Linked DNA regions of Drosophila melanogaster. Changing the gene in region 1 together with any one later gene gives a genetic interaction. Each region holds a gene or a part of one and is shown in the gene's direction. Other genes may lie near its edges.

What was found.
Region 2: of vir (region 1) and mle, changing one suppresses a phenotype caused by changing the other (phenotypic suppression), as found in Drosophila melanogaster (one study listed by BioGRID).
Region 3: of vir (region 1) and Sxl, changing one suppresses a phenotype caused by changing the other (phenotypic suppression), as found in Drosophila melanogaster (2 studies listed by BioGRID).
Region 4: of vir (region 1) and msl-2, changing one suppresses a phenotype caused by changing the other (phenotypic suppression), as found in Drosophila melanogaster (one study listed by BioGRID).

What each region holds. Positions count from the first base shown.
Region 1 is NT_033778.4:23,358,976-23,367,999, reverse strand, and holds vir (virilizer), read left to right. Parts: upstream 1-1,644; 5' UTR 1,645-1,745; coding exon 1,746-1,811; intron 1,812-1,876; coding exon 1,877-2,553; intron 2,554-2,612; coding exon 2,613-5,500; intron 5,501-5,553; coding exon 5,554-6,250; intron 6,251-6,306; coding exon 6,307-7,368; intron 7,369-7,432; coding exon 7,433-7,607; 3' UTR 7,608-7,777; downstream 7,778-9,024. Other genes in the region: Ice1 (uncharacterized protein), read right to left, coding at 1-896; Mthfs (methenyltetrahydrofolate synthetase), read right to left, coding at 7,778-8,010, 8,075-8,330, 8,404-8,520; CG34423 (uncharacterized protein), read right to left, coding at 8,900-8,968. UniProt on the Drosophila melanogaster protein: Associated component of the WMM complex, a complex that mediates N6-methyladenosine (m6A) methylation of mRNAs, a modification that plays a role in the efficiency of mRNA splicing and is required for sex determination.
Region 2 is NT_033778.4:5,973,967-5,982,923, reverse strand, and holds mle (maleless), read left to right. Parts: upstream 1-2,145; 5' UTR 2,146-2,229; coding exon 2,230-2,305; intron 2,306-2,364; coding exon 2,365-2,881; exon of another isoform or gene 2,882-3,223; intron 3,224-3,286; coding exon 3,287-3,605; intron 3,606-4,246; coding exon 4,247-4,937; intron 4,938-5,455; coding exon 5,456-7,734; 3' UTR 7,735-7,830; downstream 7,831-8,957. Other genes in the region: BubR1 (Bub1-related kinase), read left to right, coding at 8,641-8,957. UniProt on the Drosophila melanogaster protein: RNA helicase component of the male-specific lethal (MSL) histone acetyltransferase complex, a multiprotein complex essential for elevating transcription of the single X chromosome in the male (X chromosome dosage compensation).
Region 3 is NC_004354.4:7,094,005-7,100,213, reverse strand, and holds the start of Sxl (Sex lethal), read left to right. Parts: upstream 1-2,160; 5' UTR 2,161-2,213; exon of another isoform or gene 2,214-2,269; intron 2,270-2,445; exon of another isoform or gene 2,446-2,590; intron 2,591-3,147; exon of another isoform or gene 3,148-3,216; intron 3,217-3,278; exon of another isoform or gene 3,279-3,399; intron 3,400-5,729; exon of another isoform or gene 5,730-6,209. Other genes in the region: CG4615 (uncharacterized protein), read left to right, coding at 15-205, 268-487, 559-840. UniProt on the Drosophila melanogaster protein: Sex determination switch protein, which controls sexual development and dosage compensation in females. Sxl protein is only active in females: it is inactive in males throughout development.
Region 4 is NT_033779.5:3,461,296-3,468,693, reverse strand, and holds msl-2 (male-specific lethal 2), read left to right. Parts: upstream 1-2,581; 5' UTR 2,582-2,642; exon of another isoform or gene 2,643-2,775; 5' UTR 2,776-3,054; coding exon 3,055-4,987; intron 4,988-5,039; coding exon 5,040-5,428; 3' UTR 5,429-6,476; downstream 6,477-7,398. Other genes in the region: Pif1 DNA helicase, read left to right, coding at 1-843; ND-PDSW (NADH dehydrogenase (ubiquinone) PDSW subunit), read right to left, coding at 1,440-1,561, 1,632-1,907, 2,278-2,359; CG3246 (uncharacterized protein), read left to right, coding at 6,843-6,924, 6,988-7,256, 7,314-7,398. UniProt on the Drosophila melanogaster protein: Limiting component of the male-specific lethal (MSL) histone acetyltransferase complex, a multiprotein complex essential for elevating transcription of the single X chromosome in the male (X chromosome dosage compensation).

The sequences.
Region 1 (9,024 bases):
AGCTGCAACTCCTGCTGCAGATCGCTCAGCGGACTCATGGGCTCAATTACGACATCATCTCGCCACGATAGCATTTCATCAAGTATCTGCCGAATATTTGGCAGGGGCTTTGGTTCGGGAAAGCATGTGCCCACATCGTGGTGCTTGATGAAGGAGGCTGTAGTGGTTCCCCGGGTGGTGGTGGTGTTCTTGTGTTGCGTGGCCTGGTTGCGCGTCTCTATCAGACCTTCCACTTGCACAGCAACAGAGCAAAGCGCGGGCTTGGGATCAGCGGGTTCCTCGTCGGTTTGCGTAGATTGGTTGACTCCGGGCTGATGGGCTTTCCGTTTGCTACGTGAATTCGGGCTCTTTGGCGTGGGCACGCTTACGTCTATAGTCTTGCAGTGCTCCCTTAGCTTCTTCATGATGTTCTGATCCCGCCGCAAAAGTCCACAATCGTCGCCCAGCCGCTGGGAGAACTGCATGAGTATGGACAGCACATCCTTGGCTTCCACGGGTAGTCCCCGCACTTGCAGCTGCTCCTGCAGATTCTCGCAGTTCCCAACCTGTACGTCCAGCTCCTTTTCCAGCTGTCCGCATCGCTCGCCGATCTGCTTGGTGCGCTTCTCCAGCTCGATCCTCTGTTGCTTCTCCTTCTGGTACAGATCCGTCACCTCTTGGGCGGTGCGCTGCAGGTCGGCCAGCTGTTTGTTTTGAGCCTGCAGCTGTTTCACCTGGCGGATCAGCTCGTCGTTCTGGGCTATTCGCTCGGCCAGCCGGCTTCGCTTGGCGTACACATCTTGGTTGCTCCTGGGCAGCGACACCTGCTTATACGGCGCCACCAGAGCATCTTGCAGCGGTGCGCTTGGGCCCAGAAGCTGATCTATATTGAAGTCGGAGAACTCGTCCAAATTCATGTTGCGCAGACTTGTTGTTGCTGGATTTCACGTGGTTGCGTGTTCAAGCGCCACTGCGGTTCTAGAACTTGCAGAAAACAAGGAGAATCCTCATTTTCCACACAATTCGCTAGTCGGTCACGAGTTGGACAATATTAAGCTGCGCATCTGGCGATTTAATACACAAAACAGAGAAATAAAACAAAATCCGCGTTTTTCTCTGCAGCCGGTCTCCAAAACATTTCCCTTATCGACAACCCAGCACGAGCCTATCGATATATATGGTATGGGACTATTTTATGGAACTCTTATAGGTCGTTCTCACTACTTCGTTTTTGATAGTTCACACTTTATTTATAATAAGAGGTTCGAATTATAGTTTGATAATATTGTAGAGGAAGTAAATTTTGAATTACTGATAATAACTAAATTTACATGATTTGCGTGCGTCCATTGAAGGGAAACAAATGTACTCTGAATCAGTGCGATTCCCTGCGTTAGGTTTAAGCCTATGGTTTTTAGGGCTATTTTACAATCTTTTAGAAAACATTGAGAGCATCATTACCAAAAATGGGGAATATTGAGAAAAAATCCAATTCATTTCTAGACATGAGCCAATTGTGACGTTAAAATTTGATGCATTGTTTTGCGCAAGCTACTAGACTGAGACAATTTTTGTTTAGTTTTTAAAGATGTATTCAACATATTCTAAAGCATACCCTCTTGAATACCCCTACCAATTGTAGTAGAGCAATTGATGATATCGATCACTTATCGTCTTAAGTTCCATCCCTAGCAGTTGCGGAAAATAAATAAAACTTCCGGACTGTAGAAGATTTTACTGAAAAAGACTCGATTTAAGCACACAACATGGCCGACGTAGACGACGGGTCCGAGCTGCTGTTCTTCGACACTTTCTCGCATGAGGAAGTGACGGTAAGTGCCTCCAGAAGCCCCCACTCGGTGCATTCGCTGAACCCCACTTCCTCCTCTCCTCATAGGACATCAATTTGGATTTGGTGCAGTTTCCCAAGCCGGTCTTCATCACACAGGTGCGGATCATTCCTCTCGGCGCCCGAGTCCAGGCAGACTTTCCCGGCGGCGTTCGCCTGGGCGCCACCAACCCCTCCAAGTTCGACCTGGAGTTCTTCGTCAATGACCTGGGAATGCCGGCTGCGTCGGCATTCGAGAACCTCGGCCTGCTGCGTTACAACCAGAACGACTGCATTCACTTGGATTGCTCGCAGGAGAAGATCGTCACCGACGGTCTGGTGCTGCGCGGCTGGTACAGCACCATCACACTGGCCATCTACGGCATTTTCACCAACTCGGTGACCGAGCCAATCGCCAGTCCAACGCTGCCCTGCGAGCCCGTGGGCCCGGAGATAGCCAACCTGAGTGGCGAGGTGCTCCTCCAGGAGGATGTGCTGAAAGACGAGTGGCAGGAGCCGATGCAGGCCGAACTGCTGACCGCTCACAAAGGAAATGTCAGCGATTACGATCCGGAGGACATGGAGTATGGAATGTCGCGGGATCATTACCACCAGCATGCCGAGGAGCAGGAGCAGCGAGAGATGCGACGACTGCGTCGGTCCACGCATTCCACGGATCACTCACCGCCACCGCCCAGAAGATCGCACACGCATTCGGAGAGCAACGACAGGGAGTACATCAGGTGGTAAGTGGTTATCTGTTTTATTTATTATATTCAGACTTATCACAGACCTTTCATTGCAGTTCCCGCGACAAGGGCTCCAGGGATTGGTCGCGTTCACCGGAGTATTCCAGCCATCGGTCACGTCGCAAGCGCTCCGAGAGATCTCGCTCCGTTGTGGACGAGCACAAGTGGCCCAGAACCCCGCCCGCGTCGATAGACTCACCGACACGTCCGCGTTCGCCAGACACGATGGACTACGAGGACGAGGACTCGCGCTCCCACTACAAGATGCAGTCATCTCACTACCGGCACTCCTCCGAGTCGCTGCACCGTGGTGAACGGGATCGGGACGATGAGGACCGATCGTGCACGCCGCAAGAGCAGTTTGAGCCCATTCTCAGTGACGACGAGATCATCGGCGACGACGAGGAGGACGACGCAGTGGATGCGGCTGCCATTGCGGAGTACGAGCGGGAGTTGGAGGCTGCTGCTGCCGCTGCTCCTCCGGCCATCGATGCTTTCGAGCCGTGGCAGAAGCCACTGTTGGTCTTTGAAGGGGACATGGCAGCCCACTTCTGCAAGGAGCTGGAAACTCTGAAGCTGCTCTTTAAGAAGCTGGTCCTGCAAACCCGCTGTGAGAATGTTAATGCCTTCAGCGAGGAACATGGCGCTAGTGTGGACGAAAGGGAGCAATTTGTGTACTTGGGTGAACAACTGAACAACCAATTGGGTTACCTAGCCCAGCACTACAAGCGGAGGAACTTTGTCCTGCAGCAGTTCTTCGGAAACGATGAGCTACATCTGCGACAGGCGGCTAACGTGCTGCAGATTGCCCTGAGTTTCCAGGCGGCATGCATGCAACCACAGCCAGCTTTTAAGATCCGCCACATCAAGCTGGGTGCGCGAATGGCTGAACTTCTGGGCAGTAGCGAAGAGCTCTTCCAGCACTTGTTGAAAGAGCACAAATTCGATATCTTTGAGGCGGTGTTCCGGCTGTACCACGAACCGTACATGGCTCTGTCCATCAAGCTTCAGCTCCTCAAGGCCGTCTACGCCCTGCTGGACACCAGGATGGGTATCGAACACTTTATGGGAGCGAAGAACAACGGCTATCAGATGATTGTTGAAGCCATCAAGACAGCCAAGCTGACCAGGACGAAGTACGCACTGCAGGCGATTATAAAGAAGCTGCATTTGTGGGAAGGCCTGGAGAGTGTACAGATCTGGTGCCGTCGTCTCTTCGTGGACCGAATAATCATACCTGGTAATCGCGATCAAATGGAGGACACAGTGATAACTTGCCAGCAGATAGAGTTTGCCTTCGAGATGCTGATGGATGCACTGTTCTCCAGCCAGTTGAGCTACTTGCAGCCGCGTCGCTTTCTGCCCGTGTCCAAGAAATTCGAGGTGGTGACCGATCCCACGGCGCAGCGCAGTTTCGGAAATGCCCTGCAGTCCTACTTGGGACAGAACTCACTGGCGGAATCCCTGCTGGTCATGTTGGCAAACTGCAAGGAGTTGCCGGCCACGACGTATCTAAGCATGCTAGACTTGATGCACACCCTTTTGCGCTCGCATGTCGGCATTGATTACTTCGTGGATGATGCTTTTCCTGTAACGCAGACGATTGTGGCCATACTGCTGGGCCTGGACGAGGTTCCTCGAAACCCGGAGGAAAAAGAGGAGAAGGCAGAGAAGTCGGATGCAGAGGACAAGGCAATGGAGGTCGAAAATGAAGCTGTGGAAGCTGGAGGCGAGAAGCCAACTCCACCGACGGCCGACGAGGAGGGGAAGCCAGTTGCGGCCCCGATTTCCGTTCCAGCTCCAGCTGCTGCTCCTCAAGTGCGACCCAGGCCGATCCTGCGCCCAGTACTGCCACGCCTGGCCAGGTTGGGCATCGAAATGTCGTACAAGGTGCAGACGCGTTACCACCTGGACGCCATTGCTTACGCTGCCGCGGCTCCCGAATACGATGCCGTCAAGTTGGCCACGCATATGCATGCCATTTACTCGCAAACCTGCGATCCGGCTGGGCGGCAGCACACCGTGGAGGTGCTGGGCTTGAATAACAATCTTAAGATCTTCATGGATCTGATCAAGAAGGAGCAGCGTCTGCAGACGCAACGCCAGCTGAGTTCGCCGGGCACGAAGTACAAGAGTCCGGTATTGAGCTATGCCGTGGACATGGTGGACGCCTGCGTCCGCTACTGCGAGCAGTTGGACTACCTTATCGAGCACGGAGGTGTGATCCTGGAGCTGGCCAAGAACCACGAGACCTTCGAGCCCTCGGTGTCGGCCGTCCTGCAGGAGATGTACGTGTACATGAAACCCTTAGAGGCCATCAATGTGTTCGTATACGATGACATTATGCCGCTGGTGGAGGTGATAGGACGCTCCCTGGATTACCTAACCACTTTTCCCGGAGATCTGATAATGGCCATGCGGATTTTGCGCTATCTCTCCATAAGCAAGCCGCTGGCAGGTCAGAAAGCTCCTCCAGTGACCGAGGAGCTCAAACATAGGTTCGTGGCCCTGCAGCTGTACGCGGCGGATGGTGTCCAACTTTGCATCCAGATCATGGAGCGACTATGCGCCTACTTCGAGCAGCCGGGTGCGCACGCTCCCGCCCTGATGACCATCCAGGGAGTGCATTGCTGCCAGATCATGCTGCCAACGCTACAGATCCTCCGCGAGCTGCTCTCCTACGCGATTCTGTGCAGAGACGGCACCTACAAGGACCTCACAGCCATCGATCACCTGGTGAAAGTGTACTACCTGCTCTACTACTTCCCCACGCGCTGCCAGGCGGGACCCGAGGTGGAGCAGTGCAAGATGGAGGTGGTCCAGACCCTGCTCGCCTACACCCAGCCGAACGAACAAGACGAGGAGTCGCTGCACAAGTCCCTTTGGACCCTGATGATCAGAGAGGTGCTTAAGAATGTCGATGGTCCCGCGCACTTCATTCCTGGTAAGCTAGACTTTGCAAGAGATCTGATCCATCTAATGATTCCTTCCGTACAGGACTGAAACTTTTGGCGGAGCTGCTTCCACTGCCGCTGCCTATGCCCCAGCCGCTATGCGACCAGTTGCAGCAGCAGCACAAGCAGCGTCTGATTACCGAGCGGAAACTGTGGTCCGCCCACTTGCATCCCCAGAGCGGTCAGATCGCCAAGCTGGTGGAGGCACTGGCTCCGTCCAGTTTTCCGCAGCTGTCCGAACTACTGCAGCGAGTGTGCATGCAACTGTCCGACCTGGCGCCCAACATGACGCTGCTGATCGCCAAGACGATCACGGAACTGCTGTGCAATGAGTACCAGACATCCAACTGTATTCCGACCACCAACCTGGAACGGCTGCTTCGTTTCTCCACTCGCTTGTGCGCTTTTGCCCCTTTGAAGAGCTCCATGCTGTCCATACTCTCCGGAAAGTTCTGGGAACTCTTCCAGTCGCTGCTGGCACTGAACGAGTTTAACGACGTGGTTTCCAACTGCCAGGAGGCCGTTCACCGCATTCTGGACAGTTTCCTAGACTCGGGCATTTCGCTGATTTCGCACAAGAGCACGGCTTCGCCCGCTTTGAATCTGGCTGCCGCACTGCCACCCAAGGAGCTCATTCCGCGAATCATCGATGCGGTCTTCAGTAACCTGACAAGCGTGGAGGTCACGCATGGCATATCGATTCTAGCGGTGCGCAATCTGGTCATCCTCACGGAGCACGAGTAAGTTCTGAATATCACTCGCACGCTTTTAATATTAATATTATCTATACCGCCAGCTTCACTTTCTACCATCTGGCGCAGTTGTTGAAGCAAAAGATCACCGAGTTCCAGGCGTGGATGGAGCGCGTGATCCTTCACAACGAAACGGTGGAGTACAATGCCAACATCGAATCTCTGATCCTGCTGCTGCGCTCTCTGACCCAAATAGAACCGCCGCCCGCCATGTCGGCCATGCCACACCGCACTCTGAAACTGGGCGCCACAGAGTTGGCTCAGCTGGTTGAGTTCCAGGACATTGAGCTGGCCAAGCCACCGGTGCTGAGCCGCATTCTCACCGTCATGGAGAAGCATAAGGCAGTGGCCAATGAGGCGGCGCTGAGCGACCTCAAGCAGCTGATCCTGCTGCAGGCCTCTAAGCAGGAGATTCTCGCCGGAACCAGTACGGAGACGCCACCAGAGGCGGAGGGCGAAGCCAATCCATCTGCCAGCAGCTGCAGTGCATCTCTGACCGTGGAGCCCTATCTGCCACAGGCCGAGGGCATTGTCACACAGTACGAGGCGCGTCCGATCTTCACGCGATTCTGCGCCACCGCCGAGAATGCCCAACTAACGGCGCGCTACTGGCTGGACCCGCTGCCCATCGAACTGATCGAGGACATGAACGAGCCGATCTACGAGCGCATTGCCTGCGATCTCACGGATTTGGCCAACGTGTGCCTCAATCCGGACTTGAATGTGGCTGGCGATAGCAAGCGGGTCATGAACTTATCCGGCTCGCCCCAATCCAATCGGGAGATGACGCCCACGGCGCCTTGTTTCCGCACGCGCCGTGTGGAAGTTGAGCCCGCGACTGGTCGACCCGAAAAGAAGATGTTTGTGTCGTCGGTAAGGGGTCGTGGTTTTGCTCGGCCACCACCTTCCAGGGGCGATTTGTTCCGCTCCCGGCCGCCCAACACCTCGCGACCGCCATCGCTGCACGTGGACGACTTCCTGGCCTTGGAAACTTGTGGCGCCCAGCCCACAGGACCCACCGGCTACAACAAGATACCCTCAATGCTGAGAGGCTCCCGGGTGGGTCGCAACCGAGGATCTCGAATCTCGGCAGCAGCTGCCTTTAGGTAAAGTGTCACGATTACCACTTAGCAGGATAACGCTAATGGGCTCTTTTTACTCTTTTAACAGGCAAAAGAAGATGATGCGCATTGGTTCGCCCTCCAGCTGGGCAGAGTCCCCCGGATCGTATCGGTCTGCCTCGGACTCCCACTTCAGTAGCAGCGACTCGCACTATTCGTCGCCCCACTACAGTGGACGGCCGCGTGGACGAGGCCTGCGTTCCAGGCCATCCTACCTGAGATAGGAGGACATTGCAGCCCAACCCGCTTCTCACTGACACTTCCCGTAAACTCGGCAAACGAACCAGAACTAGATCCTAAGATGCCCGCTGGGCAGCTGAATTCCAATACTTAATAGTGTGTGTTGCTTTCGTATTAGTTCGCTTTACTTCCCACTTTGTATGTAAGCCAAAAGTTAGTTTTCCGTAATTACACTGTGCAAACGGACGTCGTGCGACTCCATGGGCAACTCCTCGTTGCTGACTATCTGCTCGTTGAGCGACAGTGCCATCAGCGAGATCTTCTTGTGCGGATACTTCTCCGCGTGCTGCTTGAGGAACTTGTCGTAGTAGCCCATGCCATGGCCCATCCGAGCTCCGCAGCGGGTGAAGGCCACACCGGGCACAATGAAGAGATCGATGCCGTGCCCTGTGGTGATCGAGTGTGTGTGTGTGGGTTTAGAAGGAGCTCTGATGTATGCCTAGCCACTCACCGTTGGTCATGGCATCCTCGCGTGCCTCCTTGAAGTCCGGCTGCTTTATGTTCCACTTGGTCAGAGGCAGGCTCTCGTACTCCTCCATGCCGCGCAGCCGCACCATCTTCATCCTGCTGCCCTCGTAGGTGGGCACAAAGACCATCTTCTCCAGGCGGAACATCTCCGACAGCAGCGCCGTGGTGTCCAGCTCCGAGGCTGTGCTCAGGTAAATGCTCACCCGCTGCGCCTGCCGGAAGATCTCGCTTTGCAGCACCTGTGCGATCGAGCCGATTAGGGGGATTGGGAATTAACTTGATAACCTTGGGGCCCAGCCAAACCAATGTTACCTTAGCCGTGACGGCCTGCGACTGCCGGGCGATGGCCTCCGCGTCGATGCCCTTCAGTGCATCCTTCATGCGCTTTCGCAGCGCCACCTTCAGGGTGTTCTGGATCGTGGCCGCCATTCCTGCCGCTGGATCATCTACTGCACACTCGAGCGAACCGGTGCGAACTGTTTCCATCTGCCTGCGCGGTCCATGCGTCTTTAGGTCGCCACTCCGCCGCCCGTTATCAGCTGCGCTTACACTGACGCTTATCTGTCGGCTGTTCCGCTTTGCAGCGCTGTTCGTAAACAAATGGAAGTGGAGCGGTCTGGGGAAAGTTTAGGCTTGCAGTTTGGGTGAGCCGCGGGGCGATCAGCTGATCAGGGATGGGAGTTATCCAATACACAACCAGTTGTAAATTAAACAAAATATATTTGGAGTACCATTCCCATTAAATACAATTCAGACAATCCAGCCTAACCATAGTTAAGCTAGTGGAGTTCAAAGCTCCTGGTTGGGCTCACTTCTTGGGAGCCTCTGGTGCCTTAGGCTCCGTCTTGGTCTTCAGGTTCTTCAGTTGCTCCTTTTGCTGCAGGGAAACATGGAATCTTTACCTCGTGTACAGTCTGGTGTAGTAGAAAGAGC
Region 2 (8,957 bases), about 17 Mb from region 1:
AGTCATATTTAGTCTAACAAAATAAATAATATCTTTATCGAATGAACATTCTATATCTGTCCAAAACTGATTTTCAATACAAATTCATATATTTGGAAAATAAGTTTAATTCTCTTTTGTGTGCACGATATTTTTTGAGTTTTTAATTACAAATAAGGAAACGCCAACTTTTTTGTTCGCGAATAAGGCGTGCGTGTGAACGTAGCAAAACTCACCTGCGTGTCATTCAGTATCTCCAAGTGCTCTCCCTTGCGGAAGCTCAAATCCTCGTCGGTGCGGGCGTCGTAGTCGTAGAGGGCGACAAAAATCTTGGCGTTGGCACCTGCCGTTTCGCTCTCCGGGATCTGGGGAACCGGACGTATCTGCTCCGGTGGCTGTCCGGCGTGTGAGGGCATGGGGATTTGTGGCACGCCCACTCCGACTCCGATGGTGGGCGGGTCGTCCAGCTTGATTCGATCTGCGGGCTTGTCGGGTTCGCCCTTCTGTGTGGTGAGGCAGTTACCCATTGTTGGATGAGTAGTTGTGCTGCCGCCGAGACTGAGTACTAAATGCAATCAATGGAAGCCAAATTGCAGCGCTTGCGTTTACTGTTACTTTCACTGTTTGTTTATTGTTTGTAGCTGCGAGATCAGCGCTTGGGTGTTGGCACTAAACGCCGCTCTCACTCGATCCCCTCTTCACTGACTCTCTGCACTGCTTACAATTTGTGCAAGTTGCTATCGCCTTTTCGCTCAACTCTGTTTTACTGGGCACTAACGAAATTAAATGCTTGCCCACGACCAAACGTGTGCCTGTGTGTGTGCGTGCGTGAGTGTTTTCTCACTTTTATCTACATTTGCTCGTGTGGGTGTGCGTGATGCTGGACTGCTGGCAACCAACAAAAATCCAGCTGTGTACCGGCGTTGGGGCCGCAAAAAAGAATTCAAACTAGGCGATTAAATGGGTGACTCGCGATTGCACTATTATTTAGTTGGGCTGGCATCCGTATTCACATTTTAACTCAAATATCGTCCTCTTTTTCCCATCGCGTTGCAAAAAGCTGTGTGACCAGTACGCGGACTCGAGAAATACCAAAAGACTGGGGCAAATATACTATAATACTGAATTTCAGTCATCATCTTTAAAATACTAATTTATTTCAACAGCTTGGATATTTTTATTTGAACAGAAATCAATGGTCGTGTCGCTGGTCAAGTTTAGTGGTCTTCTTGGTGCCAGAAATGACTATTTAATATATGATTATTTATGCTGATTATTATTTTTTTCATCGTAAATTAGCGTAAATTATTTAAGGATTCTAAGACCTGCTATGATATGAGGAATCTTTCTTGACGGATTGAAGGGCATAACATAGTCATATGATATCAATTATTCGATAATATTCTGTCCTACACATCTTACGCAAAAAACGGCTCAAAATTCGTCTACCAATTTGAATTGGAATTCCGTTTCTTTTGTTTTGCAATATTTCATTTATTACTTATACATAAAAGACTTCTCGGCACATAGGCATATACGTCAATTCAAAACAAACAGAACTGCATTACAACATAACTCCCTGATACAAGCTCATCCTTCAACATACCACATCAAACTCCTTTCAACAACACCACATCACACAACAGGAAAACGATATTTCTTATTAACAGTCTCAGGCTTGATCACATCAACCTTACAAATGACCATTACAAGAACAGGTCCCCCATATATATGTATATGTATTTATATGCGCTCTTTGCAACCAGTTAGACGTTAATCCCATCCTAGCATACTGTTCTTCCCTTTCGCCACATAGAACAGTTGACATCAACACAATTAGAAACTTTTTAAAAAGCTCCAACCTAATTTAAAAAATATAAAATGGAAGGTGCTAGCTGCTAATGCATCTAGGTTTCAGTTACCTTAAAATTTTATACTCTACGTTATATTTAAATAAATAAATAAAAGTATATATATAAGAAATTTGTCTGTTTATTTATAGTGCAATATATACAAATATGTCTAAGTCTCTCTATAGGTTTCTTTTATTTTAGATTAAATTACATTAAATGTTTTTATATCTACACACACTGTTCTATTTTATCCGTTCCTATTTTGATAGGCGATTCAAGACGCGTTAGTGTTTTGTAAAGCAACAAAAAAATTAATCGATATCAGAATAGACATCACAAAAGAAATAAATTTAATTTGAGCTCCGTAGTTGATAGAAAGTTTATTGAAAATCTAAGAATGGATATAAAATCTTTTTTGTACCAATTTTGTGCTAAGTCGCAAATAGAACCAAAGTTTGATATTCGCCAAACGGGTAAGTGGTTATGTTGCACTCCCCCAGGCGTGTTTCCCAAGTAGCAGTTTAATTTATAGGTCCCAAAAATCGCCAGCGGTTCCTTTGCGAGGTTCGTGTAGAGCCAAATACCTATATTGGTGTGGGTAATTCCACTAACAAAAAGGATGCCGAGAAAAATGCGTGCCGTGATTTTGTCAACTACCTAGTGCGCGTGGGCAAACTGAACACCAATGATGTTCCAGCGGATGCTGGTGCTTCGGGGGGCGGACCTAGGACTGGTCTGGAGGGTGCGGGCATGGCAGGGGGCAGTGGACAGCAGAAGCGAGTGTTTGATGGTCAGTCGGGTCCACAGGATCTGGGTGAGGCCTATCGCCCTCTAAACCACGATGGCGGTGACGGCGGTAACCGCTACTCAGTAATTGATCGCATCCAGGAGCAGAGGGACATGAACGAAGCGGAGGCTTTCGATGTCAACGCTGCCATCCACGGTAACTGGACCATAGAGAATGCCAAAGAGCGACTGAACATTTACAAGCAGACGAACAACATTCGCGACGATTACAAATATACACCAGTGGGCCCGGAACACGCTAGGTATGTGCTTCCTTTTCAACTTTCTTCGGCCTGCATTTCGGATTTGACCGAATATGGCCTACGGCCAAATCTGAAATGCAGCCCATAATCATGTCGGGCTGTGACCAATTTGATTTGTGCAGAGCAGCGCCGGCAGAACGATGTGGTACGATACTCCGAACTACAAGAACCACGTCCAGCTTCCTTGCGTGGGGTCTGTAAGCAAAACGGACGCCCATGCAACGCGGCTTAGCTGACAATAATTCAAGCGCTGACTTTCCAGCTGCGTCTAACACATTAGTACCACGCCGTTCTGTCGGCTGGCTCCTTCAGCAGTCCGTAGACTCCCACGATAGCCCGAGGGTAAGTTCCGGATTTGATCTACATTACCAGTCCAGATTTTTTCAAAAAGTTCTTTTAATGTAGGAGCTTTTTGGCCGAATTGTCCATTTATGTGCCGGCGCTCAATCGCACGGTGACGGCCCGTGAGTCGGGTTCAAACAAGAAGTCTGCCAGCAAGTCATGCGCCCTGTCCCTGGTGCGCCAACTTTTCCATTTAAATGTGATAGAGCCCTTTAGTGGAACTCTGAAGAAAAAAAAGGATGAGCAGCTGAAGCCATATCCGGTGAAGCTTTCGCCAAATCTGATAAACAAAATTGATGAGGTGATTAAGGGTTTGGACCTTCCTGTCGTAAACCCGCGCAATATCAAAATCGAACTGGACGGTCCTCCGATTCCTCTCATTGTAAGTAATACGAAACTAGAAAACTAAAATAAAAATGTATCAGCAATTTGAATTAAATTTCTTATCTCAGAGTATTAAAAAACAGTTTAGAGATTTTATCAGACAAAGACTATTAGCTAAATGTTGTATACCGGTTTCAATATTCTTGATGACATCCAACAGTACTTTATAAAGTATATATTATTATATTGATTTACGTAAGTCATATACTTAGGAATACGCTAGTAACTCCCACATCGTTCAGTCCCTCAAAAATATTTGATATGCCGAAACAACAATGCAAATACTTTAACTCGATTAATTTGTACTGCATACTTGGCTGTAACATTTGTATTTTTTCTATATATAGCTCTCAATACGCGTCGACAGACACCATAATCGACCTAATCCAATTCTGTGTTCAAAAGATATTTCAAAGAAGGTTTTACGCTACGTTAGCATAACTAAAATCTGCGTCTTTAATCTTAACTTTCAAGCTTTTGTTGTGATAGACTTGGCTAGTGATCTTGAACAAGATTATTTCTGTTATCTCTTACATTCATACCCTTACTATATGAGCATAGGAATACGCTGCCCTACCCAAACCACCTTTTTTTTGCGAACAAAAAATGTAGTGTACGATGTAAAATATTTTCTCCTAGGTGAACTTAAGCCGTATAGATTCCTCGCAACAGGATGGCGAAAAACGTCAGGAAAGCTCCGTGATTCCGTGGGCTCCTCCTCAGGCAAACTGGAATACGTGGCATGCCTGCAACATCGACGAAGGCGAACTGGCAACCACCTCTATTGATGACCTTTCGATGGACTACGAACGCTCGCTGCGTGATCGCCGCCAAAACGACAACGAGTACCGACAATTCCTCGAGTTCCGCGAAAAGCTGCCCATTGCAGCGATGCGGTCGGAAATTTTAACCGCAATTAATGACAATCCAGTGGTAATCATTCGTGGAAACACAGGGTGCGGAAAGACTACCCAGATTGCCCAATACATTCTTGATGACTACATCTGCTCCGGCCAGGGCGGGTACGCTAATATTTATGTGACCCAGCCTCGTCGCATTTCAGCCATTTCTGTGGCCGAGCGCGTAGCTCGCGAGCGGTGCGAGCAATTGGGCGACACTGTAGGCTACTCGGTGCGATTTGAGTCTGTGTTTCCACGACCCTACGGCGCAATCCTCTTTTGCACCGTGGGTGTGTTGCTGCGCAAGCTGGAGGCTGGCTTACGAGGAGTGTCGCATATTATTGTGGACGAAATCCACGAGAGAGACGTGAACAGCGACTTTTTGCTGGTCATCCTTCGCGACATGGTCGACACATATCCGGACCTGCATGGTAAGCTCGAATAAGGTGCAATATTTCTAACATAAATCCGTATGTATAACCTGCATTCAAATTTCTTGGGGTGAAACTCTTCGACAATTGTTGATTATACTTATATATTTATATATACATACATTTGTATATATGTATTGTATATATACATACATTTACATGTATAAAAAGCAATGTTGAGCAGATTTTGAGCCGCGAAAATAACTTATTTTGCACTAATTCACTGGCTTAATTAATGAAGATTATGATTATATTGTTTGTACCGGATCCGCCCAGAGTGTATATGTTATGTTCTTAATAGTCGATTTGTCAGTTTGTTCCATTGAAAATTTGCATTGCCAATTGTTTGTGTTTCATATTTAATGTAGAGTTGACTTGCCAAAATTACTTATGCCCAACAAAATTACTATTCAGAACTTAAAACTTATATGCATTACGGGTCATACATTTCTAGTCCTAATTTAATATGATATGACTTTTAGAAAACACTATAATTAATAGAAACTCTTCTATTGCAGTTATTCTTATGTCGGCCACTATTGATACAACGAAATTTTCCAAATATTTTGGCATCTGTCCCGTATTGGAAGTACCCGGAAGAGCATTTCCCGTGCAGCAATTTTTCTTGGAGGACATTATTCAGATGACAGACTTTGTGCCTTCGGCGGAGTCGCGCCGAAAGCGCAAGGAAGTGGAGGACGAGGAGCAATTGCTTTCCGAGGACAAGGACGAGGCGGAAATCAACTATAACAAGGTGTGCGAGGACAAGTATTCACAAAAGACTCGAAATGCTATGGCCATGCTATCCGAATCGGACGTTAGCTTTGAGCTGCTGGAGGCATTATTGATGCATATTAAGTCAAAAAATATTCCCGGTGCTATCTTAGTATTCCTGCCCGGTTGGAACCTGATCTTTGCGCTTATGAAGTTTCTGCAAAATACAAACATTTTTGGTGATACATCCCAATACCAAATTTTGCCGTGCCACTCGCAGATTCCACGAGACGAGCAACGCAAGGTTTTCGAGCCTGTTCCAGAAGGCGTAACCAAGATTATACTTTCTACCAACATTGCAGAGACTTCTATAACTATTGACGACATTGTTTTCGTAATTGATATATGTAAGGCGCGCATGAAGCTCTTTACTTCACATAACAACCTAACCAGCTACGCCACCGTTTGGGCAAGCAAAACCAATTTGGAGCAGCGCAAGGGCCGAGCTGGACGTGTCCGACCAGGCTTCTGCTTCACACTCTGTTCGCGTGCCCGCTTCCAAGCGCTAGAGGACAATCTTACGCCGGAGATGTTCCGCACACCGTTGCACGAGATGGCGTTGACCATTAAATTACTCAGACTGGGCTCCATTCACCACTTTTTGTCAAAGGCATTGGAGCCACCTCCGGTAGACGCAGTAATCGAAGCTGAGGTGTTGCTTCGCGAGATGCGCTGCCTTGACGCTAACGATGAACTTACTCCATTGGGGCGCCTGCTGGCACGCCTCCCAATTGAACCAAGACTTGGAAAGATGATGGTCCTCGGCGCAGTATTTGGCTGCGCCGATCTAATGGCCATTATGGCTTCGTACTCTAGCACCTTCTCAGAGGTGTTTAGTCTTGATATAGGTCAACGTCGCCTGGCAAATCATCAGAAAGCGTTGAGTGGTACCAAATGTTCCGACCACGTGGCAATGATTGTAGCTTCACAAATGTGGCGGCGCGAGAAACAACGCGGTGAGCATATGGAAGCTCGGTTCTGTGACTGGAAAGGACTGCAAATGAGTACTATGAACGTTATCTGGGATGCCAAGCAGCAGTTACTGGATCTCCTTCAGCAGGCAGGATTCCCAGAAGAGTGTATGATATCGCACGAGGTAGACGAAAGGATTGATGGGGATGACCCCGTGCTGGATGTGTCCCTGGCGCTGCTGTGCTTGGGTCTCTACCCCAACATTTGCGTGCACAAGGAGAAGCGCAAAGTGCTGACTACAGAGTCTAAAGCAGCGTTACTGCACAAAACCTCGGTGAATTGCAGCAACTTGGCCGTCACATTTCCGTATCCGTTCTTCGTTTTCGGCGAGAAGATTCGCACGCGAGCTGTTTCCTGCAAGCAACTATCTATGGTCTCGCCCTTGCAGGTGATATTGTTTGGATCGCGCAAGATTGACTTGGCCGCCAACAATATAGTGCGCGTTGACAACTGGCTTAACTTCGACATAGAGCCGGAACTTGCGGCCAAGATTGGTGCCCTTAAGCCGGCCCTGGAGGATCTTATCACGGTGGCGTGCGACAACCCTTCCGACATACTTCGCCTTGAGGAGCCCTATGCACAGCTGGTCAAAGTGGTCAAAGACCTTTGCGTTAAGAGCGCCGGAGACTTCGGACTGCAGCGTGAATCAGGAATTCTGCCGCACCAATCACGTCAGTTCAGTGACGGCGGAGGACCGCCCAAACGAGGTCGCTTTGAGACAGGACGCTTTACTAACAGCAGCTTTGGTCGCCGTGGAAACGGCAGAACTTTTGGAGGAGGATATGGAAATAATGGAGGAGGATATGGAAATAATGGAGGAGGATATGGAAATATTGGAGGAGGATATGGAAATAATGCAGGAGGTTATGGAAATAATGGTGGATATGGAAATAATGGCGGAGGTTATAGAAATAATGGTGGAGGATATGGAAACAATGGCGGAGGATATGGGAACAAGAGAGGTGGATTTGGAGACTCATTTGAAAGCAATAGAGGATCAGGCGGCGGCTTTAGAAATGGCGACCAAGGCGGCCGCTGGGGTAACTTTTAACGGATACATAAAAAAAATGTATTGGTTTTTTCAAAAACAAAAAGAATAATAAACATTACTATTCGCATTTCGATATGCTGAAGGGATTATACAAATAAGACGCATTGAATCTTTTGGTTTTTTGGCATTAAATACGCATGTGCGATCCGAATAGATTCACGAGTTAACGTATGTAAATAGTAACCAAATATGATAGTTCCGCTGACATTCCCTAACCTGTTGCATACATACATATATTGCTGGAATTTCGTTTGTGAAGGCGTGGAAATCGTTTATTGTCACAAAATGAGATCAAAAACATTCATTCTATAAAGGCTTTTGGTGAACCTGTGTAATCATTATTTTTTATCTCTGCTAGCATTTTAGACGATTACTGATTTCGCAATTAGACCTTTTTAAAACATATGTCATGACAACAATATATACAATAAAAAGCCATATATATGCAAAACATATTTCGTGCCTTATCAAAACTCGAAGGGAAAAGAAAAATTAATTATTGTACAGATATGGCGGTGATTTTAAAATATCATAATTTTCGAAGCAATAATGAAAGTTGATCAAATAAATATTAGATCACAAAGATTTGAGGAGCACCAGAAATGTAATAGTAACTGGAGTAAGCTGTTCTTACGCTTCTTTTTTACTGGTCAAGATGGTGAGCTTCGTTACCAATTAAAAGTGGTGGTCAGTGATGACGTTGTGTTGCTAAGCAATTCAATTTTTATCGTATGTATTTCGGCTTCAGTGAGAACAGTTTTTCAATCGAAGTATCGATACGACACAATTAAAAATATCGAAAGAGCGTAGTATCATTCATCTCTAGCATTTGCTTCGGCGCGTAGTTTTTGTTTAACCGATACAAGACAACCAAAAGTTTCAGGTCATTTGCTTGAGGAGAACGATATGGACTTTGACAATGCGAAAGAGAACATTCAGCCGCTGGCCAGCGGTCGCAATGTGAGCCTTCTGCAGGCTTCTCTTAGCCAGGACTCCACCCACGGCCAGGAACTGCTGGCACAACGCAAGCAAATGGAGGAGGAGGTGCGCACCTACAAAGGCGCGGATCCTCTCGGTGCCTGGTACACGTTCATCTGCTGGATCGAGCAGAGCTATCCGGCGGGGGGCAGTGGCTCCGGTCTGCAGACTGTCCTACACCAGTGCCTCACCAAATTTGAAGACGACGAGCGCTACCGTCAGGACAAGCGGCTTATAAAGCTTTT
Region 3 (6,209 bases), on another chromosome or scaffold:
CCAAAAAAAAACAGATCGAGCAGGTGGCCAATGTGATTACTCACGGCATTTGGATACTGCCCGCCGTTTTTGCGGCCATCAAGCTGTTTGAACGCTCCTCCAGCGCCAGCCAGTATCTGGTTGCTTGGGTCTACGGCGGAGCCCTGTGCATGCTCTTCACGGTGTCCACCTTCTTCCACTGCTCCTGCTATTGCGCCGAGCACAAGTGAGTGCGCACACAGGCTGATTTAACCATTTGATTTGTACATTTTTGTATACCTCCACTAGACCACCGAAGAATGTCAAGGCCTGGCCCTGTCTCGGCTGGCAGACGTATCAGGGGCTCAAGAACGTGCTCCATCGCTGCGACAGGGCGATGATCTATGTGTTCATCGCCGGATCGTACTTCCCCTGGCTCACGCTAGAGAACACCGATCATTCGGCCATACTCTTCTGCATGGAATGGGTCATCTGGCTGATGGCGGGCATAGGAATTGCCTACCAGCAGGTGGGTTCATTTACAGCACCCGTGTTCACATGCTCCTTAAGGTGAAATTTCCTTTTGTTTGGCGAAAACAGGTCTTCCACGAGCGCTACAAGTGTCTGGAGACGTTCTTCTATCTGGTGATGGGCCTGGGACCCGCTCTAGTCGTTGTGTTCACTGGCCACCACTTCCACGGTATGATGCAGCTCAAGTTCGGCGGCGGCTTCTACATTCTGGGCATTGTATTCTTCAAGGCGGACGGCACGATACCCATGGCCCATGCCATTTGGCATCTGTTTGTGGTGCTGGCCGCCGGATGTCACTATTACGCCATCCTGGTGAATCTATATCCAAGCGAGGGAGCCGCAGCACCGTGAACAAACGAGCGCCACAAAGCAGTTGTGGTAACATGCAGCGAATTTAGAACTTAGAGTACTTAACGACAGGGATTCGATGTTGTCAGCCATGTGTAACGTATTCCTATGATATACCCGATGTACCCGAGTCTCTGCTCCACAATTAGCCAAATTTTAAGCGAGCGAGGACGCCTAGCTTGTAGTCTAGTTGTAGCATTACGAACTAACTAAATCGAAACGATTCTTGTGATCAGTATGTGCGGTCTTGCCAAAGATTCAAATTGTGCGAGTGCTCATCTCTCCCTCTCCCTCTCAACTTTAACTTGATATTATTAGCGATATTCATATATTTAGTATCCATAACGACCCGTTTTGGCCATGTGTTTCTCAAAAGACTTTGAACCGTACTCAAAAGGCAAAGGACACGAATATTAAACTTGTACAAATATCCGAGAGTTAACGACCTGAACCTTTTGAACACTAGAAGCCCGCCTATCCCGCATTGCATTATGCATGTTTATACAGATTATACAGATATATTATATACCCATATATACCCATATACACAAGTAGATAGAATTAAGAGGCCATCCGATCCGCGAGTCCAGCCCCTTCGGCCAGTTTCATCGCCGAGCTCAGGGACAAATCGATGTGTTCGCAGATACTGAAGAAGGTGACTATTTACAAATACGCTTGATATCTTGATATTTTCGGGGCCTGGCTCGCGATCGGCGGATATAGCTTTCGTGTACTACTCGTATTTATGGTGCAGATCGATTAGTTTTAATGGCTCTAATAAATTGTATATTTCCAAATGAAAGCAAAGGGCTCAGATGTTTGTTGCGTGCTCAAATATAATTGTTCGTTTTACAATGTTATGCATGTATCTTGTTTAGCTTATTCATACATCTTGTTTAGCTTTAAATATATGAATATACATATATTCTTTTTTTGGTTGCAAATATATATATATTATTTTATTGAAAATTTTTTTTTGTTTGTGTAGAATTCTAAATATTTAAATGAACGAAATCTAACGGGGCTCAAAAGACATAAAATTGTATCTAATTTTAATTCGTTATTTTCTTTTCTTTAAATGAAAATTTCAAGCTTGATTTGAATTCCCATATTTGAATTTTATGTGACCGTTACGAATCAAGCGAAGGTGTGAAACTTGGCTAAATGGGTTCGTGTATTCGCTAAATGGAGTGAGTCTTAACTAACGCGGTGTAGAAAATGAACAGTGTGACCAGCCGAGTGCCTAGAAAAATAACGAAAACGCGTTTAGCCACCGTAAAGCCACCCAAATAGCTTAAATTGACCGACAACCGCGAAACGTGCACACTGCTTTGTTGTTGCCGAAGAAGGAAAGTCGCGCAGTGAATTTTTTTCTGGTAATTTTTCTTTGCTCCTCCTGACACTCGCCACGTAAATCAAACACACGATCCAAGTGAATAAGTTAAAACGTTTTAAAAATCATGACAAAGAAGCTGTTTTGTGTGCCCCATGCAATCCGTGTAGCTACAGAATAAGTGTGTGAGAAGAAATAAATCCCCATCGAAAAAACAATACACACACAGACACTGCAGCATGTACATATATATGCATATAGATATATATATATACATACATGCACAGGGTTTCTAGCGTGACGTGAAGTGTATATAACGAAGCGAAATTAAAAGAACACGCAAAAAGAGAAAAGTGGAGAGGAAACGATAGTGGAAAACACGCAGACATTGTGAAAATGCGCATAGATCATATCGCAATTGTAGTAGTACAATTACAAAAAAACCAAGCATTTTTGGAGTTTTTCTTTTCTTTTTTCAAGTTATACATGTTATTTTTTTTGCTGTTGGCCTCAAATACATACATATGTACATCTGAATAGAGCGAGTAAAGAGCAGTATACAGATACTCGCTGTTTTTTGTTTCTTATTTTTTGCTGTATACGGTTTTTTGTGAAGTTATTGAGCTGAAAGAAGAGTGCAAAAGCGATTGACGAGCCGAAAACATGTTGTAAAATTCCATTCAGCATTTCCCACCACTACCAACAACAGCAAAGCAAAAGCAAAGCCGTTTTTGCTCGCTCTCCCACTCCTTCTCTCTCTCTCTCCCGTCCACTCGTTGTTACTTCATGTACTAATTTTTTTTTCTGTGCTTGCGGCTTCGTCATTCGCATGTATATACATATGTGTGTGTTGCGCCTACGTGAGAGAGCGTGCGAGTGTGTATATGCCCGCAAACGCATAAACACACGCGCACACACTTGCAAGGCGATTCACGCGCCTGGCTTACACTTTGTTTTTTCTTTTTTTTTTCGTTTCCGTTACAGTTGTGTAGTACATAGCAACATGCAAGCATCGCCCAAAAATCATATGCACATACACATAAACAGTAAGTTGTACATAAAAACAGCAGCGTGTGTGTGAGTGCTTAATTCTTTTTTTCCATTTTAGTCTCTAACTAAATAATAATAACTAAGCCGCTGGGTAAGTGGTTTTGTTCGTATACAAACAGCTTTTTGGGGCAAAGAAACAACAAGAGAAACCCAAGGGCAGTAAGAACATATAACGAAAGGTAGGCGAAAAAGACAACAACACACATGCATACAGTCGCGTCCAGTTGTGAAGGGCCGAAAATTCTGGAATAGATTTCGCTTTACCTGAGTGTTTATCGCGTGTCCCTTTTTCACTTCCTTTAGTTCCGCTGCAAATCGACTACCTACATTTACGCATATCCTGTATACATATTACTTCCTGTTTCACCAACTATGCCACCATGTGTTTCTTGCTGCGCATAAATTGGAGTATTTTGTGATTGCTTTTAATAAGTAGATATGTACCTATTTTTTGGTGGTCGACTGTGGCGACCGCCCTACGTCGACGGCATTGCCAGCTGTTATCATCGAAGGCAACGTGTTTTGGCGTACACTTCACTTACACATGTGTCCCTGGTTAAGATATGACATATTTTGGAGTTTCCCAGAGCTTCTGCAATTAAAATAATTGTAATTTCTTCGTTGAGTGTTTATATAGCTTTAGTTGGCGAAACATTATTTTAAAGATCCTCATTAGCGACACGCGCCTTTCGGTTTATGGCCCTCCCTTTTCCATTGAAGATCAGGGATCCTGGATATTTCCAGGCAGGTAGTGAGCGCAAGGGAAGATGTTCGCTTCGCCCTCCGTTGTTGTCTCTATCGTACGCTCAGCTGCCGTATTTTTTGTTTTTCAAGTTGCAGCTGGCTGGTGGGAGAGGAGTGGAGTGGTGAGGAGAGGGCAGCTGCATTTATTTCCTTTTCTCTTCATCTCCGCTTCTCGGTGGGTCATTCCCCTTCTTGCTGTTGGCAATGACGTCGCATCGCAACGATCGTTCCCTTCGCTTAAAGCGTATTGGAAATATTGGAAATGGCGGTAGCTAGTACTACCCCCACCTCCACCAACACTCTTAATTCACATTTCTGCATTCCATTGAGGTCATTCCCTTGCGCAAATTGCACGTTACACAATTCCCATGAGCGTTGCACCCCGTTTTAAACCTTATTTGGTCTTCAGTTAATAAAAGCTTCCCAACAGTGGTCTCTAGATAATGCAACTACTTAGCGTCGTTATTTAAGAGTATATTTTGTAGCGTTGAATGTTCTTATTTCGATGTTTTTATGGCAGATAATACTGAGTTAAATGAAGTTGAATACGTCCTTGAAAGTATATATGTTTCGGTTCCGCAATGTCAAGTGTTCACTGTACTTTTTAAGCTCGCTCAATGTTTTAAAAAGCATACATGCATACATATGTACATACATGCGCATTTGGATACACTTGAAATAACAACAGTATAATAACAATCCAAGCGGACGATCAGCTGGAATGTTCGATGGATCGTTGATTGTGTCTGGCAATGCCGCTGTGATTTTGTTTCCAGACCGAGATCCATTCATGCATGCGGGTACATGACTCATTTTCCCAGCTGAGCGATTGTTAGATGCACAGATGTGTACATGCATCTTCTATATGTATATATGTATACATTAGCTCATGTACTTAAATGGGCTTTTATCAGCTGTTTAGAACACACATTCACTCAAGCACTGCATAATAGTGCTGCTCTATTTACACAACTGTGCTCCAAATTAGCAGACTACTGTTATCAAACTGTAAAGTTTTTCTCGCATTTTGTTATTGCTTTACAATTCGCTGGCGCTTTCTCCATCTCTTTCCCTCGTACACTGCCGAAAAATGTCTGCTAAATGGTGTCAATGAAATCAATGAAAGCCTGCATTGTTTTTTTTTTATTATTGTTATGTAATATTTTTTTCTGTTGTGTATCATTGCAATATTATTTGCTGCTTTGAATTATTAAACAGCTAAAAAAGTCATATATATTAACATTTTATCGTAATATTTAGAAATAATTTTGAACTATTTGTTTTCAATTTTTTAATATGATACATTGGATATATTATTACCACGCATTGTGATATGCATTTTCCCCAAAAGTTTTGTCCGTGATGGACTTTCTTTTATTTTGGTTTTTGATTTCATGGTGATTTAGCTTTCACCCATCTGCATATGGAAAGTCTATGGGTCTTTGGTACTCTATTACTTATGTTTGAATTTTCTTTCATTTCTGGGCTCTCCCATTTTCGGAATGACCGACCTTCTGGTTACCCTTTTGTATTTTCCCCCCACCTTTTTGCTTTTTCCGTATTCACAGCTTGTGACGCTTTTCGTTTCTCTATTTCCGCATTTTCCGTTTTCACGCTGGAAAGCGAGGTACACACTCTGTTTTATATATTTCTGTACATATTTTCATTTTCCTTCCCCTGGGCTTCTTTCTTTTTTTTCGGCATTTGCTGTATATTGTGTACATGGGAAAAGAGCAGCCCTCGAATTTGATGACCGTACCACCCCATTCCAGCCGGCTTTTATTCTGGTTTTTGTGTTTCTGAGCGACCCAATGCGATTTAGGCCGCCCCACCCACTTGGCCGCCGCCCCCCTTTGCGCCTTCGTTTGGCTGCCCTCGTTTTCTCTGGCTCCTCTTCTTCCCCCTTCTCCGCTGCTCGCATCTCTTTTCGCAGCTTCGTATTTTCCATTTTGATTGTTCTCTGTTTGCCAAAAGTTTTGGTTCCTCATTCGCTTCCTTGGAAGGAAGCCCAGCTCTTGCTCTTATTTTTGGCTGGGGGATCCCAAAGTGTAGGACAAATACTCATGTATCGAGTATCCAATGGATTTGCTTCCTGCTTGTGGAAAAATAATGGCTAGGGCTTAGGGCTCACTGGAAATGGTACTTGATAAGATTGGAAGTTAATTCATAAACATTCTTCCTACAAGAATAATATACTTATCTCGTACAATGGTCAAATTAATTTGCAATTAACGATAATGATAAT
Region 4 (7,398 bases), on another chromosome or scaffold:
CAAGTGCATCGGCAATCGGATCCGGAGTTTGTAAAGATTCTGAACCACCTCCGAATTGGCCATGTGAACGATTCCATAACCAGTCGACTTGCAGCTACATCAAAGCAGAAAATTGAGGGAAACGGCATTCTGGCCACTCAACTCTGCTCCCACACAAACGATGCGAACTCCATTAACGAGTCCAAGCTGGAAAACCTCGATGGCGACAAGATTTTATTCAAGGCTGACGACTCCGATGCCAGCATGACCAGGACACTGGATCAACAGATCCAGGCTCCATCTCAGTTGTACCTAAAAGTTAACGCCCAAGTAATGCTACTCAAGAATATAAACATATCCAATGGACTGGTGAACGGAGCTCGAGGCGTCGTTGTAAGAATGGAGAAGGATCTGCCAGTGGTAAGGTTCAAAAACAACCAGGAATACGTTTGCAAGCACGAAAGGTGGATAATAAAGACCGCCTCAGGAAACCATATAACACGACGCCAAGTGCCACTGAAGTTAGCCTGGGCATTTTCCATACACAAGAGTCAGGGACTAACCCTCGACTGCGTGGAGATGTCCCTTTCCAAAGTATTTGAGGCTGGACAGGCCTATGTGGCCTTATCCCGTGCGAAATCCCTGCAGTCCATTCGCATCCTGGACTTTGACGCCAAGCAAGTGTGGGCCAATCCACACGTGCTGCAGTTCTACAAGGGATTCAGACGCAAGCTAATGGACACAACCATGATACCATTGGGTCCCAAAAACAAGGACAAGAAGCCAGGAGACAAGGCCGCAAATAGCGCTCTGGCTAAGCTCAAAAAGAGTCTCATCAACAAGCCGCTGGTCTCGATTAGCTGAGCTCGAAAGTAATCTAAGATAGCGTAATTCTAGAAAGCTTGAACAAATTTCACTATTGCCTATCTATTGGTATCTATTTCTAAAAGTGTAATTTTTTCTTTTTTTAAGAAAAGCAAATGATTTATGGACTGTGCATTCCTTTTTTTAAAAAATGAGAAATTATGGAACTCTTTTTGAAATTGTCTAAATTTTCGAAAAAGTCTGAAGAATTACAGTGTGAGTTTTATGATTTATCACTATATTCTGTAAACTTATTGCAGTACGCAGGCAAAAACTTTATTTTACTCACTGGAACAACTTAACCAAGGCTCTTAATCTTGAGAACTATTAGTTTTAAGCTAGTCTATAGCCAAAATTCTATATCAAACGCCAATATTAATATTTATTTTAAGAAAAACATGACTAAGAATAAATGCAACTAATAGACAAATGAATTGAAACTGCTGTAGTAATAAATAATTCCTAGTAGCTCTTACCTTATAATTTACACTGAAACAATTGAAAGAAAGCTCAATCCTTGGGAATATCGTTTTACGGCGTGTATATTTTGTTTTAACGGATAATGAAACTAGAAAACATCATCATAAAAGCGGAGTTTAATGGGCGGCCTCCTCCTTCATGCCACTGCCCACTGGTCCATGACGACGCTCCCAGATCAGACGATGCTTCTGCTTCATGTACGCGGTCTTGGCATTGGCGTAGCCTCCCAAGTCGCCATCTATAATGGGTTATATCTCGTTATATATCACATACAACTTTAAAGAAGATGGGTAAGGGATTCCACTCACACTTGATGAACCAGTTCTCGGTGGCCTTCTCGTACTGATCCATCAGCGGCCTGCACTTGACCATGTGATCGGGTGCCTCGTAGAGGGTGCAGTCCTCGAAGCGCTGGCGCAGAATGTTGACAATCTCGTTGTCGACCATGCGATCCCGGCGGAACTGCTGATCGGCCTCGAAACGGCAGACGGCATCGTCCGTGTAGCACTGGTCGATCGTCGGAACGCGGCGGAAGCGCTGGTGGTACCAATTCTGCTTCTGCTGGTTCGGCTCCACAATGCTCTCTGTGGGATTAACACAAGGCGCATTAATAAAATATACTAGCTGTAATGCATTTCTGTTGAAAAACATGATCCCGCTTTGACTAGATGAACTATATAGTAACGGACGGCATTTAAGGGCTGCCGACTAGTATTCTAAGAGATTTAGTTTGCGCTAGCTAGAAATTACTTAAAACGGTTGATTATAAACATTTTAGCATTTCAGCAATACAGTGTAAACAAAAACAAATGGACTGCGAGTTGAGGTTATGTCATTATGTAATTGTCTGGAATTTGTCCGGTTTTTCCGATCGTTGGCCAAAGGAAACGCAAACTTGCAGCATCTGGAGACTCCCATGACCATGGCCATTGGGAATCCCTGTGGACTACATACCACGGAACCAAGTTATGGGTCCATCGATGACATTCAGCACCGACTCGGCAAAACTGGCCATCGGACTGCGCGGTTCCGGCATTTTCTGGCTCTCCTACCACCTGGCGTAAGCGGAAGAGCTGTTAGTAAATAATTTCCAAGGTTTTCCGCTTTCCTTTGACGGAAAATACTTAAAAAACCATATTTACTTGAAAAACTAAGTGTTAAAATTTGTTGTAGGACCGCAGTTCGTAACTGCGAAAATTCCTCAGAGCACTGAAATCAGCTGTTCGAGGTAGTGGTCACACCTATGCCGCACTGCAGCTAGCATGTTCGCACTGGCACACTGCGGTCACACTGGCTTCGCTCAGCAAAATATTGCTTGGGTAATTTTTTTTTTTAGTTGCTAATTTATTGTTTTCAACGCTGTTGCACAGTGTGCAGCATAACCATTAACAATGACTTGAGACCTCTCAAACGTAAACCAATTTTTTTTTTTTTTTTGCACGTGAAACATAGTGATAACGAAGCCACAAAAGTGAAACCAACAAAAAGCGTTCCAGTAAAGTTACCATTAGATAATGAAATCGAGGATTAACGCGGTCTAAGCATGTGTAACTGAGCTCCTACGGGCGAGGAATTGCAGGTAACTAGCCCAGGAGGCACCAGGTAGCGGAGCAGGTGGCGTGGGTCGGACCGACAAGGCACTTACTTGGCCAGCGGAGTCTCACTTTTGGGCTGAAAAACGTAAACAAACAGCGGCGTGCGTACAGTCCCGGGCATAAAAATATAGCCATCATGGCCCAGACGGCATACTTGAAGGTGACACGCATCGCGATGCGCTCCGCTTCGAATCTTTCCAAACGGCGGGTGGAGGAGCTGAACTCCGGGCTCGGCGAGCTACGGCAGCTGCTGTCTTGCGTGGTCTGCTGCCAGCTGCTGGTGGATCCCTACTCGCCCAAGGGCAAGCGGTGCCAGCACAACGTGTGCCGGCTGTGTCTGCGCGGTAAGAAGCATCTGTTTCCCAGCTGCACCCAGTGCGAGGGTTGCTCCGACTTCAAGACCTACGAGGAGAACCGTATGATGGCCGCCCAGCTACTGTGCTACAAGACGCTGTGCGTCCACCTGCTCCACTCGGCATTATTTGGTGAGCTGGCCGGGATGCGGCCCCAGGTGGCCAGGGAGCTGGTGCCTCGCATCAAGCTGCCTCCCAAAACCACACAGGAGTTCATTCGCGAGGGCTCAAACATCTCCGACACTTTTGACATCTTTCTGCCCCAGCCGGATTTGCCGTTCCTCAAGGACATGCCCACATCGCTGCCCGCAGAGACGCCGCCTACGTCGGCGGTCACGACTCCGGAACTGCCCTATGATCACCACCTCAACATCAGCGACATTGAGGCGGAGGCGGCGGCCACAGCGGAGCAGGGTCACTTCTCGCCGCTTCCCCTGCTGCCCACAGGATCTCGCATGGGCATGCTCTCTCACGCCGGGCAAATAGTCATTGCCACCGAGAGCTCGGAGTCGGGCTTCATGGACCAAGCGTGGACGGATCAGGTAGACCTGTCTGGCACGGTTTCGGTGTCCAAATACACAAATAGCGGCAACAACTTTGCTGTCTCCTACGTGATGCCCACTTCTGCGACCACGAAGTTCGATCCACAGGAACTGCAAATCGGCCAGGTGGTGCAAATGGCGGACTCCACTCAGTTGGCTGTGCTGGCTGCCGTTGAGGAGACCGTCGAGACGTCCACACAGTTGACTGTGCTCTCCACCACCGTTGAAGAGACCGTTGAAACATCCACGCAGCTAGAAGTGCTTACCTCCGCTGAGGAACCCAACGAAATCTCTGATCAATTGGCTAATCTGCAAGTTGAGGAATCTGATGAGGCTCTGGTTGAAGAGACCGTTGAAGAGGCCGAAGGGACCTCAATCCCGTCAGAGGTTGTAGCTGAGCACATGGAGGAGGATCAACACTTGGATGTGCACACTTCACAGTCACCTACACAAACCGAAATGGAGGAAGCAGTGGAGGAGCATGTTGCCACAAAAACACAATTGGGTCATGTGCAAACAGAATTGCAGGATGCGGAGTCGTTGCAGAAAGATTTTGAGGACGCAAAGGCAGCGGCTGAAGAGGCGAAGGAGAAGGAGAAGGACCTGCACGCAATCAGTGCTGAGCTGCAGAAGGAGGACAGTGACGAGCCAACACTTAAGCGAAAGAGAACCCGTACTCTCAAAGCGTCACAAGCTGCCAAAATTGAGCCTGTACCGTCTGAGGTCAAGACTAAAGTGCAATCTGGAAAGGGCGCTCTTCGCAGGATTCGGGGCAAGGACAAGGAGGAAAAGGTGAAGCCTCCGAAGCCGAAGTGCCGCTGCGGTATCTCCGGCTCGAGCAATACCCTCACCACCTGCCGGAATTCCCGATGTCCTTGCTACAAGAGTTACAACAGCTGTGCCGGGTGTCATTGCGTGTGCTGCAAGAATCCGCACAAGGAGGACTACGTTGAAAGTGATGAGGACGATGATTTGGAGGATTTCGAAATGCCGAAGGACGTTCCAGAGCCGATGACTCAGTCGGAGGAGCCGGTGGTAGCTGAGCCTAGGCAGGAGGAGAACAGTATGGCGCCGCCAGACTCTTCTGCCCCCATAAGCCTAGTGCCGCTAAATAATTTGCAGCAATCCCAGCATCCTTTGGTGCTTGTTCAGAATGAGAAAGGCGAGTACCAGGGTAAGTTACCTCATCGCTGTGTTAGACCTATCTAACCCTGTTCCAATTGCAGGCTTCAATATCTTCCAGGGCAGCAAGCCCCTTGATCCGGTCACCGTTGGCTTCACTATTCGTGTCCAGCTGCAGCACACCGATGGCTTCGGTTCCCTTCCCCAGTATGCTTATATAATGCCAACAATTGACCCGCCGAATCCACCAGCTCCATCACTTTCGCCACCACCGCCTCCTGCTCCTGACAGGGAAGTCATCGAGCCACCGGCCAAGAAATTCAGGACCAGTCGAACACGCCGAGGAAGGGCCAACTTCTCGGCCCTCGACACGGTGGATGAGCTTGTCAGTGGCGGATCCAGGAGCAATTCTGCCGCTGGCGACAGATCATCGGCCACTGACAATGCCCATTCACTGTTCGAGGAGATCATGTCGGGCTCGGATGACTTGTAAGCAAGACGACTCATCCCTATATGTTTGTTTTTTTATGTGCTCAGTGATGTCCAGGTATCAATCCTTTAATAGATAATTTTTATGTACGTTATGGATGGTCGAATTCAGCACTGAATTGCATCCATAACGTGGTATCGTCTTTGATCCTCTTATCATACCCGTTATTCGTAGAGTAAAAGGGTATACTAGATGTGTTTCCGACCATGTAAAGTATATATATTCTTGATCAGGATCAATAGTCGAGTCGATCTGGCCCTGTCCGTATGAATGTCTCGATCTCAGGAACTATAAAAGCTAGAAGGTTGAGATTAAGCATATAAATTCTAGAGACATAGATGCAGCGCTTGGTTGTTTACCCATGTTGCCACGCCCACTTACCGCCCAAAACTTCCACGCCCACAATTTTAAATTTTTTCTCATTTTATTTCCCAATATCTCTTGGATATCCCAGAAAAATGATGAAATTTCGCGTTCGTATTTCCACTAGCTGAGTAACGGGTATCTGATAGTCGGGAAATTCGACTTTAGCATTCTCTCTTGTTTTTAACTTGTGGTTTCGTTATGCTATATATTCCCCCACTCAAACAACTTCCACTCAAATCAACTCCCAAATATCTTTTAGGAGCATTCTACAATCTGATTTTTGTAATCATCCAGCAAACGTTTCCAAAACTCAATTTTTTTTTAATACGTATTAAGCCAAAAGTCGTATACATAACTATTTAAAGCAATTCTGCAGCTGCAGCAAAGATAATCTATTTAAGAGTAAAGCATTAGTCAAAACTAAAGATTATTTTCGTTCAACGAACAGCGAATTATAGATTGCTTTGCCCAAAATGTGGATGCTGTGAGCTAAAAAAAACCTTTTTTTTTAATAGGCTAAGACATTTTTTTGAATAGGCTAAGACTTTTTTTGAGCATGAATTTTTTTGAGCACGTGAACCTAGGATTAAGAACAACAATTCAAGTAAGCCATATATACCCATATTATATATGCGAACATATAACTATTAAAATATTCAAATAAAAATGAGCATTGCTACTACAGAAAAATGCGCGATTTTCTTTGGGTTTCAAAACCGTTTTCGAACCGTAACACTCTTTGCCTCATGCAAGCTGCTAGTTCATGATTTCTAGAACATCGTTCCTGGGAGTGGAGTGAGTTCCATGAGTGCCTACAATGTGCTGGCCGCTTCCGCTCACTTAAGTCACTCAATCTCAATTCCGAGTTTAATCAGCAGCTCCGCGAGCAGAGTCGCCCTTAGATAAGCGGATCGCCGCCTGCGGCTCATCATTATCTTTTGATTAACGCGCCAGTCGACAGTGCGTGTTTGTTCCGAGTAGAGAACGGAGGCTGGCGCGTTTTCTTCCATTTTCCAACTGATAAGCAGAAGCTCCAGCTAATCCCCGAAAGATGAAGCCGTTGATAGTGGTCGTGCTCGTGGGCCTGATGGCAAGTGGCTGCCACATTGTTCACTCCCAGGAGCCTGGCGATGGTAAGACGAATTCCAGTCTGAGCTCTACCGGAACTAAGCCACTCATTAATGACCTTTGAGCAGCTGTGGAGCAGGAAGCCAGCGAGTCGGATGACGCACTTAAGATCAAAGAGAGTCAGGCCAGCATAGCCGCCCAGGTGGAGGCCATGCTCGTGCACTTTCAGCAGGAGGATCCGCAGGGTCTGCCCGGCGTGCCCGTGCCCGATCCGTTGGAGGTGCCCAATGTGAAGAAGAGCATGGGCATGGCCAATCTGGACATGAAGCAGGTCAAGGCGTATGGCTTGTCCAAGTTCCGCATTGATAAAATGAACCTAGACCTGAAGGAAATGAGAGTAAGTTTTCAAGTTGAATTCGAATTGGCTTGAAGTTTCCACTCCTCTGTCCTGCAGTTCAACGGTGGCCTCCAGCTGGACCAGATGCTGGTCAAGGGCCAGTACACCCTCAGTTCATTCTTTTCGAAAGCCAATGGACCCT